Linked DNA regions of Callithrix jacchus. The protein of the gene in region 5 purifies or fractionates together with the protein of the main gene of each other region. This does not show direct contact. Links are inferred from orthologs where the notes say so. Each region holds a gene or a part of one and is shown on either strand. Other genes may lie near its edges. The genes, in order: ENG, SMURF2, PSMD14, SMAD7 and TGFBR2.

The links.
Region 1: the proteins of TGFBR2 (region 5) and ENG purify together in Homo sapiens (affinity purification with western blotting; 3 studies listed by BioGRID). This does not show direct contact. The link is inferred for Callithrix jacchus from reciprocal best matches to the Homo sapiens genes TGFBR2 and ENG.
Region 2: the proteins of TGFBR2 (region 5) and SMURF2 purify together in Homo sapiens (affinity purification with western blotting; 3 studies listed by BioGRID). This does not show direct contact. The link is inferred for Callithrix jacchus from reciprocal best matches to the Homo sapiens genes TGFBR2 and SMURF2.
Region 3: the proteins of TGFBR2 (region 5) and PSMD14 purify together in Homo sapiens (affinity purification with western blotting; 3 studies listed by BioGRID, with this or other methods). This does not show direct contact. The link is inferred for Callithrix jacchus from reciprocal best matches to the Homo sapiens genes TGFBR2 and PSMD14.
Region 4: the proteins of TGFBR2 (region 5) and SMAD7 purify together in Homo sapiens (affinity purification with western blotting; 3 studies listed by BioGRID). This does not show direct contact. The link is inferred for Callithrix jacchus from reciprocal best matches to the Homo sapiens genes TGFBR2 and SMAD7.

Annotation. Positions count from the first base shown.
Region 1 is NC_133502.1:176,480,094-176,484,069, forward strand, and holds the start of ENG (endoglin), read right to left. Parts: upstream 2,818-3,976; 5' UTR 2,461-2,817; coding exon 2,394-2,460; intron 1-2,393. UniProt on the Homo sapiens protein: Vascular endothelium glycoprotein that plays an important role in the regulation of angiogenesis. Required for normal structure and integrity of adult vasculature. Regulates the migration of vascular endothelial cells.
Region 2 is NC_133506.1:89,826,448-89,829,964, forward strand, and holds part of SMURF2 (E3 ubiquitin-protein ligase SMURF2), read right to left. Parts: intron 2,267-3,517; coding exon 2,152-2,266; intron 554-2,151; coding exon 375-553; intron 1-374. UniProt on the Homo sapiens protein: E3 ubiquitin-protein ligase which accepts ubiquitin from an E2 ubiquitin-conjugating enzyme in the form of a thioester and then directly transfers the ubiquitin to targeted substrates.
Region 3 is NC_133507.1:68,442,667-68,446,183, forward strand, and holds part of PSMD14 (26S proteasome non-ATPase regulatory subunit 14), read right to left. Parts: intron 854-3,517; coding exon 782-853; intron 564-781; coding exon 444-563; intron 1-443.
Region 4 is NC_133514.1:92,025,996-92,029,306, forward strand, and holds the end of SMAD7 (mothers against decapentaplegic homolog 7), read right to left. Parts: intron 2,591-3,311; coding exon 2,052-2,590; 3' UTR 517-2,051; downstream 1-516. UniProt on the Homo sapiens protein: Antagonist of signaling by TGF-beta (transforming growth factor) type 1 receptor superfamily members; has been shown to inhibit TGF-beta (Transforming growth factor) and activin signaling by associating with their receptors thus preventing SMAD2 access.
Region 5 is NC_133518.1:68,878,735-68,882,251, reverse strand, and holds part of TGFBR2 (TGF-beta receptor type-2), read right to left. Parts: intron 2,734-3,517; coding exon 2,543-2,733; intron 1-2,542. UniProt on the Homo sapiens protein: Transmembrane serine/threonine kinase forming with the TGF-beta type I serine/threonine kinase receptor, TGFBR1, the non-promiscuous receptor for the TGF-beta cytokines TGFB1, TGFB2 and TGFB3.

The DNA.
Region 1 (3,976 bases), on a different chromosome or scaffold from region 5:
GGCGCAATCTTGGCTCACTGCAACCTCCGCCTCCTGGGTTCAAGCAATTCTCCTGCCTCAGCCTCCCAAGTGGCTGGGACTACAGGTGCGTGCCACCATGCCCAGCTAATTTTTGTATTTTTAGTAGAGACGGGGTTTCACCATGTTGGCTAGGATTGTCTGGATCTCTTGACCTCGTGATCCACCCCCCTCGGCCTCCCACAGTGCTGGGATTACAGGCGTGAGCCACCGCGCCCGGCCTTGGTAATTTATTAACAGTCTTTGCTCGTGGACGTTTAGATCATTTCCAGTTAGTTATCGGGTTTTTGTTACATGCACCCACAGATCACACATCTTTACAGAGCTGGACAAGTCACTGTAGAAGGCTGACTTCTGAAGGTTGAGTTGTGAGGGTAACAAGTTACATTCAGGAATTCCAGACCCATTTCTTGGATGTCAGGGTCACTCCTACCCCCACCCCCAGCAGGGACCTCTGGGTTCCAGGCCCTGGCCCCAGGTTCCCCTCTGCCCTCCATGGGCCTCAGCTTCCCAGACCACAAATGAATTGGGCTGATGACCTGTTGTACCGTTGAGCCTGTGACCCTTGGTGCACCAGGACCAGCTCCTACCCACTCACAGGACCAGACTGATACATTTCCAGGAGTTTTTCCAACTGGCTGTTACATGGCTATTACTATCTATTTTTTTAAAAAATCCTGAATGTCCAAATTTATTTATTCCTGTTTTACGCCCCCGACTGTCACCTCTACTCCCAACATGATCTGCCCCTGCAGAGACCCTGGAGAACCAACCACCGGGTGCTACTGGGCATTGATTCCCAGCTCTGAGCTTGGGGAGTTGGTGGCTTTTAGTCAGCCGAGTGGGAGTACATATGCTGTGGAAATCCACAAACGCTATCCACAAATTGAGCCCCCCACCCTGTTGGTAATTATTTACCAGCACACCACTGCCTTTGATCCTTTAAAACCAGGCCCTAAACGTCTGCAAGGACCTTTCTCTAACGACCAAGAGGAAGAGAGTGTGACCACGGCAAGAAACAAGGGAGAGGGAGAGGGAAGCCTGGACAGCCAAGGAGGCAGATCCTAGAGCTGAGGCCGGGGCTCTGTCTCAGCCGTGTGAACTTGGCAAGTCAGAATCTCCATTTTCTCTTCTGTAAAATGGGGATGATGGCCGCAGCCATCTTGCAGGGTCCTTGTGAGCCGTATTAAGAGGGGTTGCCCTATCACACCTTGCTAGCAGCAAACGTTTGGGGAGCTGCGGGCGGGGAGTCAAATCCCTGCTAAGTCACTTACTGTGTCTGAAACTCAGTTTCCTATCAATCAGGTGGTGGGAAGAGCTTCAGAGACCCAGAATCAGGGACTCTAAAATGCCGTGGAGTGTGGAGGTGGGGAGAAGGTGGCTGCCCCACTGCCATTTTCCTTCCCCCTTCTCCCCACACTGTTAGCTCACTTTTGCCCCTTTTCCCCCAGATCCCTCAGGAAGCCCCTGCATGCACAGGTGGGTCAAGGGTTGTCCACAGGACCGGTCAGCGGCTTGAGATGCCCGAGGGGTCGGGAGTGGAACATGGGGGTGAGGGTCCCTGGCTCCTTGCTGCCCCTCCTCTGGTCAGTTTCAGAAAGTAGCAGAGGCCATGACCCCTTGGAAGAGTCCCCAGCCCGAGGAGTCCCACAGAACCCCTAACCTGGCCAGCATGCCTAACCTGGCCAGCACCCCCTCCTGAACCCATCCTGGTGATCAGGGAGCCGGGAGGGAGGAAGGGCGGGCCCTGCAGCCTTGGCCTGTTCAAAGGCCCTGGGAGGTAAACTGGAGGAACTTAAAGCTAAAAATAAACAACACAGAAGTGAGCAGCCTGCCAGAGCCCTCTCTGCAGTGATCCTTTACCACCAACCTTCTCAGCAGCTCTGAGAGGGAAGGAAGTCTGTTATCCCCACTTTACTCAGAGGCCCGAAGGCAGTTCCCGAGATCACACCACGAGGAAGACCCTACGTGAGATTTGAACCCAGAGTCAGCACTCAGAGCCCAGGCTGTGGGCCCTCCTTCTCACCCATTCCTCCTTGGAAAACTCGAGGCCCAGAGAGGGCAGGAAACTCTCCCGGGGCTGCACAGCATTCTGGGATCTGGGTTTCCAGTAATGGAACACAGCTGGGAGAACAGACGCCAGAGGCTAGGGTTAAAGTGAATGAGTCAGCCCAGTTTGCCCAAGGCTTTCAACACCCAAAGTCCTGCATAACCCTTTAGTTTCAGCAAACCGGGAGGGTTGGTGACCCTCCAAACCCCCAAGGATGGCCCTGCTGGGCGTGAGCTCAGGATATAGGAAGGAGGCCGGGTACACTTGGGGCCTGGTCTGTGCACCGGAGGCTGAGTCTCCCCATCCCGGGTCCCTGGACACCTACTTGCAAAGCTGAGGCTGCAGCTGGCCAGCAGCATGATGACGACCAGAGGGAGTGTGCCACGGTCCATGCTGTCCACGCCGGGGCCTGTGCGCTGTGCCTTATCCGGTGTCCAGGGGCAGGGCTGCAGGTGGGTGCCGGGGCCGGCGTGGGCTCGCGCGGGGACCCGAAGGGAGCAGGCAGCTGGAGCGACGGCGTCCCTGCTCCAGCCTTCTGAGGTGGCGGCCAAGGGGTCAGGAGAAGTAGACACAGGGATGTGGGGCTGGGCCGGGGTCGCTGTCTGACGAATGGGCGGGGATGGGGTGCTGGGCTCCAGTGGATGGCAGTGACGGCAGCAGTCCTGGCTGGGCGCAGATGGAAGCTGGGCTATGACCAGCAGCAGGGAGCTCCCAGCTCATCCAGCCCGGCCCAGGGAGGCAGGAAATGCGCTTCCTTAGAGAAGGGGCTGGGCTAGGCTGCCTGCCAGGCGGGTAGAGGAAGTGCCACAGGCTTTGTTGCTGGGTGGGGGGCCCTGGGATGGGGGGAGGCAGTTGGATGGGGGGGAGGCAGTTGGGTGGGAGGGAGGACCCAGGCTCTAGGCTTGTCTCCCCAAGCACCCCACCCTCCCATCCCACCCTCTCCAAGGCGGGTGGGTGGGGATGCATCAGGCAGCCCCTAACAGCCTACCGAGGAGCCCTTTCAGGGGGCTGGGCTTGGCTAAAGTAGTTTCTGTGGAATTCATGACCCTACGTGCTCAGTGATCCCATTTTGCAGATGAGGAAACAGAGACCCGATGTGTTGAGATCACTGGTCCAAGAAGATGGCAGTGCTGGGAGCCTGCCTACCTCCACCACCTCACGTCTCTCAGGCACCAAACCCAGCCTACTAAGTGCAGTTGACACAGGGCTGCCCAGCAGGCAGGAAGACTGAGGCTCAGGCTAGGGAGGGAAGTCCCAAAGTGGCATAGCAAGGTGGCTAGGGCCAGGGTCTCTGGGCTTAGAGAAGCTGCCCAGGGCCACATACTTCATGTCTGATGCCTTCATGGGTGGAAAAGCCTTCATGGACAAAAGACAGCTCCAGGTTGGGTGCAGTGGCTCATGCATGTAATCCCGGCACTTTGGTAGGCCAAGGCAGATGGTTCACTTGAGGTCAGAAGTTCGAGACCAGCCTGGCCAACATGGTGAAAGCCTGTCTCTACTAAAAATACAAAAATTAGCTGGGCATGCTGGCACATGCCTGTAGTCCCAGCTACTTGGGAGGCTGAGGCTGGAGAATCACTTGAACCCAGGAGGCGAAGATTGCAGTGAGCCAAGATCAGACCACTGTACTCCAGCCTGGGTGACAGAGAGTGAGACTGTCTCAAAAGAGGAAGAAAAAGACAGCTCCAAATGATGGGGACTTTAATGGCACTTCTGAAGTCAGATGGCTCTGGGTTCAAATCCTGCTCTGCTTACTCTGACCCATGAGACCTTGGGCAAGACCCCTCCCCCCCGCCCTCCCGCTTGCAAAGTAGGGCACGATGGAGCCTTCCTGGCCAAGCTGTTGAGATTTCTGAGGGTCAGGACACTACAGCACTGAGCCCTGGGACATACAGGAGACACTTCCCC
Region 2 (3,517 bases), on a different chromosome or scaffold from region 5:
AAGTATGGTTCCAACAATCACCACTTCATTAAAAGCAATGGCAGCAAGAATTTGCTATTCTAACACATGCAGGTTTGGAACAGGATTTGCCTCACATTGAGGAAATCATTATATAAAGTACTTTTAAAAATAGAATATACTAGTTTTTTTTCCTTTTTAACGTAGAACGTAGTAAACTTGCTAAGTTTAAGGAATTTGAAATGCATAAAGAAGCTACAGAAAGGGGGAAATCTTATGTGATCCCATCACTCAGATAACCACTCAATATTTTCTGTGTATGGTCATTTTTTTAAGTACATCAGTTTTGAAACATTTTTTTTTAAAAAAAGCTCAGAGTTTAACTATAATGAAGCGATAGAAGACCCAATACATACAGTATCCACACTAAACTGTTATGAAGATCTGGATCTACTAACTCCATGTCATCCAAAGTAATTGACTTCCCAAGCAACTGCTTATAAAAAGGCAATGTGAAACCACCATCAATATAATGTCCATGAAACACAGCCATCCCCATTATTCGTCCAACAAAGTGGAAATAGGATAAATGTTCCTGAAATTGAAAAGAGCATATATACTTGAGTCAGAAATTACTCAGGAAAATTTTAATAAAAATGAAATATTTCAACATTAATATTTTGAGAGTAAGCATCAAATCTGTACTCTTCAATATAGCCAGGAGGGAGTATTTCTCTAGGGCATGCTCAGGAGTCTCTAGATCACCAGAGAACAACATATTACACAGGGTAATAGGCCCTTCTCACAGTCATTCTGTCAATTTTATCTTTTAGAAATTAAGTCCAAACTATGGTCCCCCAGCGCTTCATTCGGCTACTTGGAGATCCTTTTCTCTTCCTTCTCTCACCTCCTGCTGAGCCCTTGCTATGAAAAAAATCTTTCAATCCTTAACCTCCCTACTTCCTTGGCCTAACAAGAAATTAAATATCAAAACACCATAGATTTAAGAGCACAGATTTGGTGTCAGACTTGGATTAGAATCATGATTCTACTAGTCACTGGCATATGGACAAATTAACTCCTGTAGGACTAACTGTCCACATCTGGAAATAGAATAACAGTATCCATCTAAAAAAGCATCTCTATGAGGAGTAAAAGGTGATGTTTGAAACCCATGCAACTGGACCTGGCATAGGTAAGCACTCAATGAGTGTGGGCTATCATCACTGCAGTGGCAGCAGTGGGCCCTCCAAGCAACCTTCACCTCAAAATCCTCCCTAAATAATTTTCTGAAAGAAATCTAACATTTCTACCCTGTTTGCATATATTGGTCAGTCGTCACAGATTGTTTTGTTAGATGTTTGTATTTTTAAATTATTTTACCCATTTACTAAGTAATCTTTTAAGCTCCTCTTTAAACCTTTTTATCTTAAAAAGTTTTTCTTTTTTAAACACACACACACACACACACACACACACAATTTACCAAAGTTGCATTAAACTATTTCATAACCTTCTTTTCACTTACATCATAAACACCATCTTTCCATATCATTAACTATTATCTCACATTATTATTTTAGTGACTGTTTAGTATGCCCTTGTATGGAAAGACAAAATAATACAAAAAAACAGTACATTAGTAATAACTGCTAACTTCTGTTGAGTGCTTAATAATGTAGTCGATAGAGTTGTGGAGTTAATAACATACAGCACTGTGCTAAATGCTTAATGTACAGCGTCCCATCTAATTCTCATAACCCCTCTCCCAGGTACAAACGTATGTATTAGCAATGACAAAATTGAAGCTTACGTCCATGAACTTGCCCTGACAGGTCACAAAGCTAGTAAGTGATGAGACGATGACATGTCTTTCTAATTCCAGAATCTACGACTTTAATCACTTGCATTATTCTGCTTCATGTCATAATTTAATCAGTCTCCCCTCTTGAAGACAAGTGTGTTGTTTTCAGTTGGGGGCTACTATAAACAGTAAACATCCCTGTTTCCAAACTGTAGCATACATCCATAATCATCTGCTTGGGAAAACTTTGTAGAAGAGGAGTTGCTGAGTCAAAGGGTACAACTAGGACAAGGACAAAAATTTCTAAATAATAAACTATGTTAACATGTAAAGATGAAAAGCATTATAGGTCATAACTTAATTCACATCATCATAACAACAAATCATACCGGATTAACAGCAGAGTCAGGATTGATCTGCAATGTATAGATATCATCTCTTGAATATTGGAAGAGGCCATAGTATGGATTCAACATTTCATGTGACAAGAGATACAACCATTCCCTAGAAAACAAGATATGATCATGGAATTTTTTTGATAATGTATATATTTCTGTTAAGATAGGCCATTAATTAATCATTTTAGAAATAATTTTTTTAATCATAAAAGGCAAAAAAGCACTAAGTACAGTTATATAAGACCACATTGGGAAAAATCTACCATGCCCAAACAGCAAATAAAAACTCTACTTCATTACACTGAAGTAACATCTCACTCAAAATTTAAGCAATTTTATTATATTTTAGTCAGAGTATAACAGTATTATCCATCAGTTCAACTACTCACAAGATGATATAGTCTGGTGATCTGTTACTTTTTCCTTTTTTTTTGAGACAAAGGTTCCCTCTTGTTGCCCAAGCTGGAGTGCAATGGTGTGATCTCGGCTCACTGCAACCTCTACCTCCCAGGTTCAAGCAATTCTCCTGCCTCAGCCTCCTGAGTAGCTGGTATTACAGGAGCACGCCATCACACCCAGCTAATTTTTTGTATTTTTAGTAGAAACAGGGTTTCACCATATTAGCCAGGCTGGTCTCGAACTCCTGACATCAGGTGATCCACCTGCCTTGGCCTGGTGCTGGGATTATAGGCATGAGCCACCTCGCCCAGCCTGGTCTGTTACTTTTAATTGCCAAATAAATTTGTAATCCATAATAAACAAAACAAAAGGAAAAATATGGTTTTATTTCAAAATGTCTGTGTGAAGCTGGAGGCAATGGCTCACACCTGTGATCCTAGCACCATGGGATGCCAAGACGGGTGGTTCGCTTGAGCTCAGGAGTTTGTGACCAGCCTGGGCAACAAGGCGAAACCCCATCGCTACAAAAAATACAAAAATTAGCCAGGCTGGTGGCATATGCCTATAGTCCCAGCTACTTCGGAGGCTGAGGTGGGAGGATTGCTTGAGACCCGGAGGTCGAGCCTGCAATGAGCTGATATTGCACCACTGCACCCAACCTGGGTGACAGAGTGAGACCGTGTCTCAAAAACAAAGTGTCTACATAATCTGTACTATCCAGATCCACTATCATGGCAGAGTTATACCACGATACTATATAGACATATACTATAGTATTGATTTACTCTTAATTTTGGACAAGGGTATATTTTGTTGTAGTTTGTTTTTGTTTTTGTTTTGAGACAGAGTCTTGCTCTGTCACCAGGTTGGAGTGCAGTGGCGCAATTTCAGCTCACTGCAACCTCCCTGGTTCAAGCGATTCTGCTGACTCGGCCTCCCGAGCAGCTGCAATTACAGA
Region 3 (3,517 bases), on a different chromosome or scaffold from region 5:
TCATTCATCCCCATATATAGAACATTTTTTAAATGTCATATTTCAAAACAATGGAAAAAGTGGTAAGAACTAGTGTTATATGAATGAAAATCTAAATAAGAGAATCTCAAACCTTTTGAATCAAATGTTCAAATTAATCAAACTAACACTCTGCTATTATAGGGTAACTAACTTTTAAGTCCAGTATTTTATGCCTTAAACTGCTGAAGGAATGAGAAAATAAATTTAGCATTAAGTATCATTCAGTTTGCAGACCAGAAGTTATGCTTCATTCTAAAGAATAATGATTTAATTCAACACAATCAAAAAATTTCTATCAATCTTATAATTAATTTTTCCTATTAGAAAGAGAAAATATAATACGATGAGAGTTAGTCTGCATAGGAAAAGAAAAATGAAAAGAAACACATTTAGTTACAGCAGGCAACCATAAAAGTACTCACTGTTCCTGACTGTGGCATAGCAAACACATCAATCACTCTGACGGTATAATCATCAACAAATTCTCCAAGCATCAAACCCATAACTTCCATTGGAACTCCAGCACGACCATGTTTTAACATCTGTAGAGAGGAAGAGATGTGGACACAAAGCAAATTTCTTTGAGGTCTCTGGTTCCTCTTTATAAAACAAAAATCAAATTTTGTTCCAGTGAAAATTAAAAACTTCTTTTATAAATGTACCTAAACCAAGAGGATTAAGGTGGACAACTATTCCAAAGTAAAAGATACAATGAAAGCAACAGAGTTCTCTAAAGCAAGTAAGTACATTGATTACTTACTTTTAACAGTGCCAGGGAAGAGATATAGACTTGTTCTGCTGTGTCCACTGCAGGAGCATCTGTAGGTGGCCCCTAGAAACAAATACATCAATTATTATAAACACACACAGAGAGTTTATGAGTTTAAAATTCAACCTACATGTGGTATAAACTTGATTGTTTTAAAAGAGTTCTGAAGAACATGTCAAGTATCATTTTATTTGGCCACAACATAATCAAAACACATTTGCAAATACCAAACCTGTAGAAAACAGATAAAACTTAATAATCTCTGCCAAGGGCATAACGGACATAAAGTTTAAGTCTTTCAGCAATGCCAATCTGCCTTGGCTGTAATGTACCAATTAGTCACATTTGTTACCACCAGTGTGTGTATGTGAAATGCAGTTGGACTAGCACAATTAAGTAAAGTATCAACACAAATAGCAAATTCTCTGAGCTTCTTGATTTTCAAGTAAAGATAGCATGTATTAACAGATTAAGGCTATGGAATTCCTCTGTAGATTCATTGCTACAGTGGAAGAGAAGGGGAAAGAAGACTTCTAATCCCTGGGTGAAAGAGCTGTGAACAACATCCTCTGCCCGTCACCTAATGAAGCTGTTCCCCTCCCCCTATACAACAAATTTAACACAATTGCCCCAGGTGTGAACAAACCAGTTGAGACAGGTATAGCTGACGTGCAAATACTTCCAAAACCCTGACCACTATCTTTAAAACAACTATTACTACCAATCTTATTACAGGCTAAGGAAAACACTATGTTTCTCCTTTAAGGATTCTATCTTCTTCCTGAAAGGAAGCAAACTTCTCTTGACTATAACATTCAGCTGCACAAGGTAACTGACATACAGTTCTTTCCCTCAAGATGCCTACAATCTTATAAATGCGATTCTGCCCCACATTTAGTGCACAAAGGAAGCTTCTTGTTTTTTAATACTGGACAATCTGAAAAATTATGAGATATGACTTATAATTGCCAGGTCCCGTTCTGCTTAAAGTTTGCTTTCCCTGACAATAACTCTATTACAAATTAGGTAAACAACCTTATCCACATTGTAAGCCATGTTCTCTCTCCAATTTATGCTTTTATATACTGAAATTAACAATCACTTTACATTCCATACTTATAGGTCTCTGTGTGTGTGTGTGTGTGTGTGTGTGTGTGTGTATGTGTGTTAAATTCTATTACTTTGTATTGTTTTAAAAGTTAATAATATTTACTGGAAGCATGGTATAAAAGATTCTAGAATAAATTTTCTCTAAATAAATTTGCTTTTATTTTTGTTCAAAGTGGAGGGAAAAAAAAATCAAGCCCCTTAAATTTAATTTTTATTTTAAATGCCAAGAAATAATGTTGGAAACTGACCAAATTCTTCATCTATTATTACCTAATGCAGTTTTATTGCTTATTTTTCAAATAGCTAAGATTTCTTTCAGAAGGAAAACTGCTAAAGTAAATTAAAGAAATATCAGGCCAAAGCATCTTGCTGATCACCACATAAACCTAATTTTAGTGATATGATAATTTTACTCATTTCACTTAGAAAGTTAAAAAAGATTGGGGCTGGCTTTAGCTCAGCGGTTACTTCGACAATGCTTTCTATGGTTAAAAACAACCACTCTGTGTGGTTCGAGACCCGCGGGTGCTCTCCAGCCCTTTTAAGAAAAGAAAGAAAAAAAGATTAGAAAGTTAAAAACGATTAAGAAAAAGGTGAGGAAAATAGTAAATTAGTTATGATGAGAGGTTTGGGGGAAGTAGTTGTAATCTTAAAATGTTAGGATAATGATAAGGCTTCAGTTAAACAGAAGGAATTGGTTCTGATGATCTATTGCATAGTCTGGTGACTACTGTTAATAATAATGTATATTTCAAAATAGCTAAAAGAGGACTTCAAATGTTCTTAGCACAAAGAAATGATAACTATTAAGGTGAAGGATATTAGCCTTACTTGATCATTCCACACCATACTCATTTATCACAGCATCACCCCCCACCAATATATATAATTATTTGTCAGTTTAAAACAAAATAAAACTAGAAAAATAGGTTAATGAACACTGTATTCATAAAATTATTCCTGGATCCACAGCAACCTTAAACATTGCATATGGAGAAAGAAGTTAAACTGGTATCCTGACTGTAGCTTTAATACAGCCTTTCTCAACTTGCCCAAAAATATTTTTTTTAGAAAAAAGGGAAATAAAACATCACACCATCACCAAAATGCGTTACTGACAGAATCCAGAAACTATTTCTGCCACCAAAGAAGGAAGAAACACTATTTTGTTCGATATTTTATATATAACCAGTACCTAGAAAAGTGCCTGGGGCATAGTAAGAACTTAATAAATACCGATTGAAAGAATGAATGAATAAATTAAGGTACTGCAAGTCAATGGAACAGAAAAGAAAAATACCAACCAGTTACCATGAGAGGGAGCAAGCCACATGTAAGTGGCCTTTCTTCTGATTAATAAACATACTAACAAGAAAGCCATGTACTAAGAGAAAACCATGCAGCTGTTTATTGTATGAGGGCTGGGTTTTTTGTTGTTGTTTTTTCTTTAGACAAGAGTTTCGCTCTGTCCCCAGCCTGGAGGGCAACGGTGCAATCTTGGCTCACTGCAACTCACCCCTCCCAGGTTCAAACAACTCTCCTGTTCCAGCCTCCTGAGTAGCTGGGATTACAGATGCATGCCGCCACGCCAGGCTGATTTTTTGTATTTTAGCAGAG
Region 4 (3,311 bases), on a different chromosome or scaffold from region 5:
AAGTCCCTCTGACCACCACTGACATTCAACCCCGACTTTCATCACCCCTCCAGGGCCTCACCCCAGGAAACTCCTCCTGGAATTAAATCTGGCAGAGTTACAGTAGGTTTGGGATTATCGCCAAGCGGGTTGTTGGCAAGAACCAGAGGGATCCAGATTCTTGGGGCTAACTTTCCCCATCCATCCATCCCCTAATCCGGTCTTCCAATCACCCGAGATGTAATTCCCTTTCCTCGATCCTACAAGCTTTTGAATTATCACCCACAGGGTTCCGGTAGGTTGTTCCCCATTACAAATTCAAGACACAGGAGGGAGGGAGCGAGGTCTTGGTAGCTGCAGGTCTTTCCAGCACTTGAAGACTAGGGCTGTTCTACGTCTCTCTCTTTTGGGGCCCATGTCTCCCCCTCCTCCAAGAGCGGGGCTGGGAAGACGCCAACTCAACGGAACTGGGATGAATACTCCTCCCGCTCCCTCCAAGCAGCAGAAGAAAAAGGAGTTGGAAGACAACATGGTATCAAGTGTACATTTTAAAAATCATTTAATGGAACATAAACTCCTTTAGAAAAACATTCTGCTAGGTGATAACACCCATAGAAAAAAACACCAATTTTGTGTTTATCTTTTTTAATTTGGCATTTGTTATTTGCATTTATATTAAAGCAAAGTGCATCTTTTCTTTTTCTTGTTTATACACATTGCACAATACATAAATAATGATGCTTATAAAACGTCTTTATATTTACAAGTAATAATATATTTATATATAACATAAAATACATTTTTTTCTTTAATAAATCTCAGGGTTTTTTTTTTTTCAGGAGTCCTTTCTCTCTCAAAGCACTACAATGCTAAATTTCCAATGAGAATGCTTCTCTTGTTCATTTAAACCTTTGTAGTTAGAAAAATAGCTTATGTTAAAGTCTAAACATGCTCATTGAGCTAAGAACAGTGTCAAAGTATCATACGAGTGTATGAGTTGTAGAAGAAATGAAAGAAGAGTCAGGTGTCAGCCTAGGATGGTACCTTGGGTTATGACGGACCAAATCCTTCTTAGAGGGAAGGGGACTGCTAAGCATGTCCCTCCCAGGGACGTCCCCCCTTGCTGGTCTAATAGCAGAGCTCAACACCCAGGCTCAGAGCAGGGAGTGCTGAGTTGGTTTTCTAAGACCAGGAAAAACCTGATGTCACCAGGGCAGGCAGGGAAGAGGCTGATAAGGGGAGAGGGCACTGGGTGAGCAATACTGTGAGGGGCTGCCCCGGCAGCCCTCGGGAAGCCCATCTCAGAGAGATCCAGGAGCAGGTGGCCAAAAAAAGAAAGACACTACAATGGCAGGGGCTGGCGGGAGGGGAATTAAGACAAGGATAAAAACAATTGGTTCTGGTTCAGCCACTAGCAGGCTTGCTGCTCAGAAGCCTGTGGACAGGCCCGTGTCCTAGAGGTGGGAGAGGAAGGGCGGGGGCTTTCCCAGGCTGGGGACAGAGCCATGCTCCTGGCAGCTGTGGGGACCCCCAGCTGCCAGTTTGCCCAGGTACTGCCTCGGCCCCATTGACCATGTCCAAGGGACACGAGAGATACCACATGGGGCTGCAAACCTCTTTGCTTGGGGACACCCGTCAGAGACACAAAACAAAGAGCACGTCGCCTCCCCATCTGTGGCTCCCGCACACGCGTGCACACACTCACAGCCACACACTCACACTCACACACACACTCCTGACAAATGAAATGATGACCGCCCCCTTCATATACTGTGTTTTGTGGTGCTTGGATTTCTGCTTCCCCTCTTCCTAGCAGGGTGTCCTGCCGATCATACCCAGCCCCCTTCCAAAAAAAAAGCCCCCAACAGTTCTTTTCATAAGCTATTTCTCAAAGAATGAAACAAAACAGAACACAAACGAGGACGAGAAGAAGAAAACCAACCAACCAACAAACAACAAAAAAAATACCAAAGAGTTTGCATGAAAAGCAAGCACTCGGGAGGAAAATATTAGCAGCAAAGTAGTTTGAAGTGTGGCCTGCTCAGCGCACGCTCTGTCCCCTCTGCACGCGGCTACCGGCTGTTGAAGATGACCTCCAGCCAGCACGGGCAGCTGCTGATGAACTGGCGGGTGTAGCACTGGCCCCAGCCCTTCACAAAGCTGATCTGCACGGTGAAGCCCGTCCACGGCTGCTGCATGAACTCGTGGTCATTGGGCCGCTGCAGGCTGTACGCCTTCTCGTAGTCGAAAGCCTTGATGGAGAAACCGGGGAACACCTTGTGAACCAACAGCGTCCTGGAGTCCGGGTTGTCCAGTGTGGCGGACTTGATGAAGATGGGGTAGCTGCTGCGGTTGTACACCCACACGCCGTCCACCTCCCGCGTCAGCTGGATGCCGCAGCCGATCTTGCTCCGCACCTTCTGCACCAGCTGACTCTTGTTGTCTGAATTGAGCTGTCCGAGGCAAAAGCCATTCCCCTGAGGTAGATCATAGAAGATATCCAGAGAGGGCTCCTGGACACAGTAGAGCCTCCCCACTCGCGTCTTCTCCTCCCAGTATGCCACCACGCACCAGTGTGACCGATCCCCAGGCTCCAGAAGAAGTTGGGAATCTAGAAAACACAATGGCAGAGAGGGTTGGTAGGGACAGGCATGGGTGAGTCCTAGAATAAAGACACACATATACACACCCCCATCACAAGCTCATTTCTCAGGACAGGACAGAAGGAAGGTGGCAGTGAGGAGGGTCCTGGACTTGCCCAGGCTCCTTCAGCCCTTTGACCAGGACCTGCCTTTCTTTAAGCATAGGAAGCTCTGGGTGCTGCTTCTCTGCAGGCCCCTGCCCATCAGGAATACACCAGCACCGTGCCCACCTGGCCAACCAAGCCTCTTAACTTGGGTGGTCCGGTTTTAGGGCTGCAAAAAGCCTCAGCCACATCCTGGAGTTACAGGTCTTTCTATTGGATGGAACCTTGGAAGGCCAGCTCCTCCAGCCCCGTGTCATCCTGATGAGAAAACCAGGACCCAGAAAGCCTGCTGCTGGAGAACCAGGGACAACATGGCCAGAGCAAGAACCTAGGTGTCCAGACCCTGGGGCCACCTATGCAACGGTCTCTGGGTGCCTGTCACCCAGCTCCCAAATCAGTGCTGTGGTCATGAGGGACCTCTCTATCTGGTAAAAATAATAATGAGGGTGACTTGGGACAAAAACATCTATATTTTTGTCCACAGCGGCCCTGTATACAACAGTGAATTTGTGTCAAAATGCCAAATCACAACCTGAGACTGGTATTATCCCGGCTACCCTAACAAAGCCTCCTCCAGCCCAGACAG
Region 5 (3,517 bases):
AAAATGTATGAGATGTTTTTACAAAGAAATTCAATACTAAAATATAGATCCAACTTGCAGGCCATTTATCAATTTTTGTCCTTTTGAATAAAATAAACGTGTCTACTGTAGACAAGCCACTATACATAAGGAGGGAAAAGTTTCTTCAGTGCTAGTAAATGTGCCTGGGTATTCTAGTGTTACAGATTAATTCCTTTGGCTTAGCCTAGGCCTTCTTTTAAAAGGTGAACTACTTGAAGAAAGCTGATGTGGTTAAGTCAGAATATCGGGTATTACTATGTTTAGTATGATTTAATCATTTGGATCTCCCTCCTAATTCAAATCACATAAAGAAAATGAGGCCGGGCACAGTGGCTTACGCCTCTAATCCCAGCACTTTGGGAGACCAAGGTGGGTGGATCACCTGAGGTCAGGAGTTTGAGACCAGCCTGACCAACATGGTAAAACCACCTCTCTTCTAAAAATACAAAAATTAGCTGGGCGTGGTGGCACATGCCTGTAATCCCAGCTACTCAGGAGGCTGATGCAGGAGAATTGCTTAAACCTGGGAGGCAGAGGTTGCAGTGAGTCAAGATTGCACCATGGCACTCCAGCCTGGTGAAAGAGCGAGACACCATCTAAAAAAGAAAGAAAGAAAGAAAGAAAGAGAGAGAGAGAGAGAGAGAGAGAAAGGAAAAAGAAAGAAAGAAAGAAAGAGAGAGAGAGAGAGAGAAAGAAAGAAAGAGAGAAAGAAAGAAAGAAAATGAGAGAAATGGACCATTTGTAGGAAGGGAACATAGGAAGGAAGAGTGATCTGGAAAGTGTTGCCCTGACAAGGTGTGCCTGCCTTCAGTTCACTGAGAAGTTGGCCTAGGGGGAGCTGGACAGGAAGAGGGAGAATGGCAGTAGGTGAAGGACACAGGAAGAGAACAAGCTGGATGTGCAGTGCTGCTGAGCACCAAACACGAAACACGAGGACACATCCCTTCTCGGAGGTGGAACACACGTGGCAGCAGAGATAGGGTGTAGAGCCAGCACTTGTGTTCCAAAAAGATTTTTTAATTAAATCAGACCCATTGTTGACTAAACTAACCTTTCGCTTCCCTGAATTTACATTCCTAGAGCCAAAAGAGTACTATTAATATTTATTTACACTACCACGATGGTAAAATTAAAAGATGTATCCATCCCCAGTGTTGGAGAAGGCACATGAAAATCCATGTGTTTACATATTTTTTGGGAGGAGAATAGTTTAGTAGTGTTTATTCAAATTTAAAATGCACATATTTCTAAACCAGAGATTTCACTTCTAGCAATCTGTTTTGCAGAAATATTAGCACAAATACATGAGATAAAGATATTTAATGTAGCACGAAGTGGAAAAACTGACGATACAAAAATAATCCATGCACAGGGTCATGATTAGATCCATCACGGAAGATAATATGAAATTCTAGACTGAAATTGAAAGATGTACAGTATAACTATGTGTTCCATCTTGTTTAGAAAGAACTGTAAAAGTGGTTGGGTGTAAAAAGTGTTGCAATATAACATTTACAATATGATAAAACAGTTGGAGTGAAAGATGGATGAGTGGATGGGACAGATAAAAGATGGACAGAAGGATGAAAGGAGGGAAGGAGAAAGGAAGACAGGGAGTGTTTGGGAGTGGGAGATATGAATGAATGACAGAGATACTGTCATTCAGTGTGTGCGTCCAGTCCATTGTCAATACAGATAATCTGTTGCACTGGGAGTGAGGGGATGAGGGAAATGTACTTTCATTTTTAATTTTCACACACTGTTGGATTGTTTGGAATTTCTGATAAAGAACATATACTAATTTGTAATTAAAAACCAACCACTGAACGTCACTTCTCTTATTAAAAATTGAGGGAAGAGTGTGTGCCTTCCTTTCAAGCTGAGTGAACCCTGAACTTCAAAGATGAAGGCTAGTATCTAATCTACTCTTTTCCTGGCTCCAAGGGTAAACTTTGACTTATTATTTCCTCTCTGTATTTCAATGTTTCTCTCAAATGGGATCAATGACCAGTACCCTACCTGGGACGATGTACAAGAAACAGCTTCAGTTATAAAGCAAGTCCTCCTCCAGGATTAAACAACCCCATCCAAATCTCTAGAATAATGGTCATCAAATTTTAGCTGCACAGAACTACTAGGAGGGCTTGTTAAAATACAGATAGCTGGGATTCACCCGCTGTGTTGCTGATTTAGTGGGGCCTGAGAATCTGCATTTATAACAGGTCCCCAGGTGATTCTCATGCTGGCTGCTCAAGGGGCTGCACTTTGAGAACCACTGCTCTAGGTGAAAGAAACTATTTGTCAAAGACAAATAATAATGTTTGCCCCAGTCAACTAGATTTGATCGGATCCAGTACAAACCTTGCTCCTCCCTAAGCCCCTCTTCCCACCAGCGGAACGGGCTCGTAATCCACTGTACAGAATCCACCACAGGAGGAACTTGGTCCGTGACACTTCAGATCAACAGTGCAAAAAACTGGCACAGATGTCAGGCCCAGTCCCTTCTGAGGAGAAAACTCACCTTCTGAGAAGATGATGTTGTCATTGCACTCTTCAGAGCTACAGGAACACATGAAGAAAGTCTCGCCAGGCTTTTTTTTTTCCTTCATAATGCACTTTGGAGAAGCAGCATCTTCCAGAATAAAGTCATGGTAGGGGAGCCTGGGGTCATGGCAAACAGTCTCTAGTGTTATGTTCTCGTCATTCTTTCTCCTAGAGTGCAGAGATTCATTGAGGGTGAGGGAAGAGGGAGAGAGAGGAGGAGAATAAATGAATACTATGGCCTCCATACAGGAAGGCAATCTGGACTACTTTTCCTTCACAAAGTTGTTCCCTAACAAAGGCCCCTGATTCCTGTTCTCCAGCATTCGCAGGCTGTCCTCTGGTCTCCTGTGCTTTTCTACTTTTTTCTGTTTTTCCTTTGTTTATTCTCGGAACCCATTTGTGGTTATAAACATCACATGGAGCAGACAGTGTTCCATGGGGGCAGTCCTGCTGGAGAATTTTACATATTTAAGTCTGAATTAAATCATTAAAGGAGAAGGCATGGGAAAAAAGAACATTCCTAGGTACTCAGGATCGTTTTAAATCTTCCATCCTGAATGTTATGCAAAGCTCACATCACACCCTCAGTTGAACTGGCAAACTCTGTCCTGTCTAGCTAAACTGTGTTCAAAGAGCGTGCCTGGGGAGATAGTCACAGTTCCTCTTTTTTTGTTTGCTGGGCCTCAGAGCATTGTGTATGAAGGGCATACTCCTTGTCAACAGCTGGTTCTGCTGAGAAAAATGGGAAGAACCATCCCAGATAAAGAACTGCAGTCTTTCCCAAATTACAGAAAGGCGCAATCAGGAAAAAAAAAAAGGGAAAGGATTTCAGGGTGTTCTTCACTCACAGCTCAATGAAATATTTTATGCTGTCATTAACTACTTTTACATTTAGTATCCCTTCCTAGCATATATTTGAAGACTAATTCAGCCCAGGGCTCAGAGAATTTCT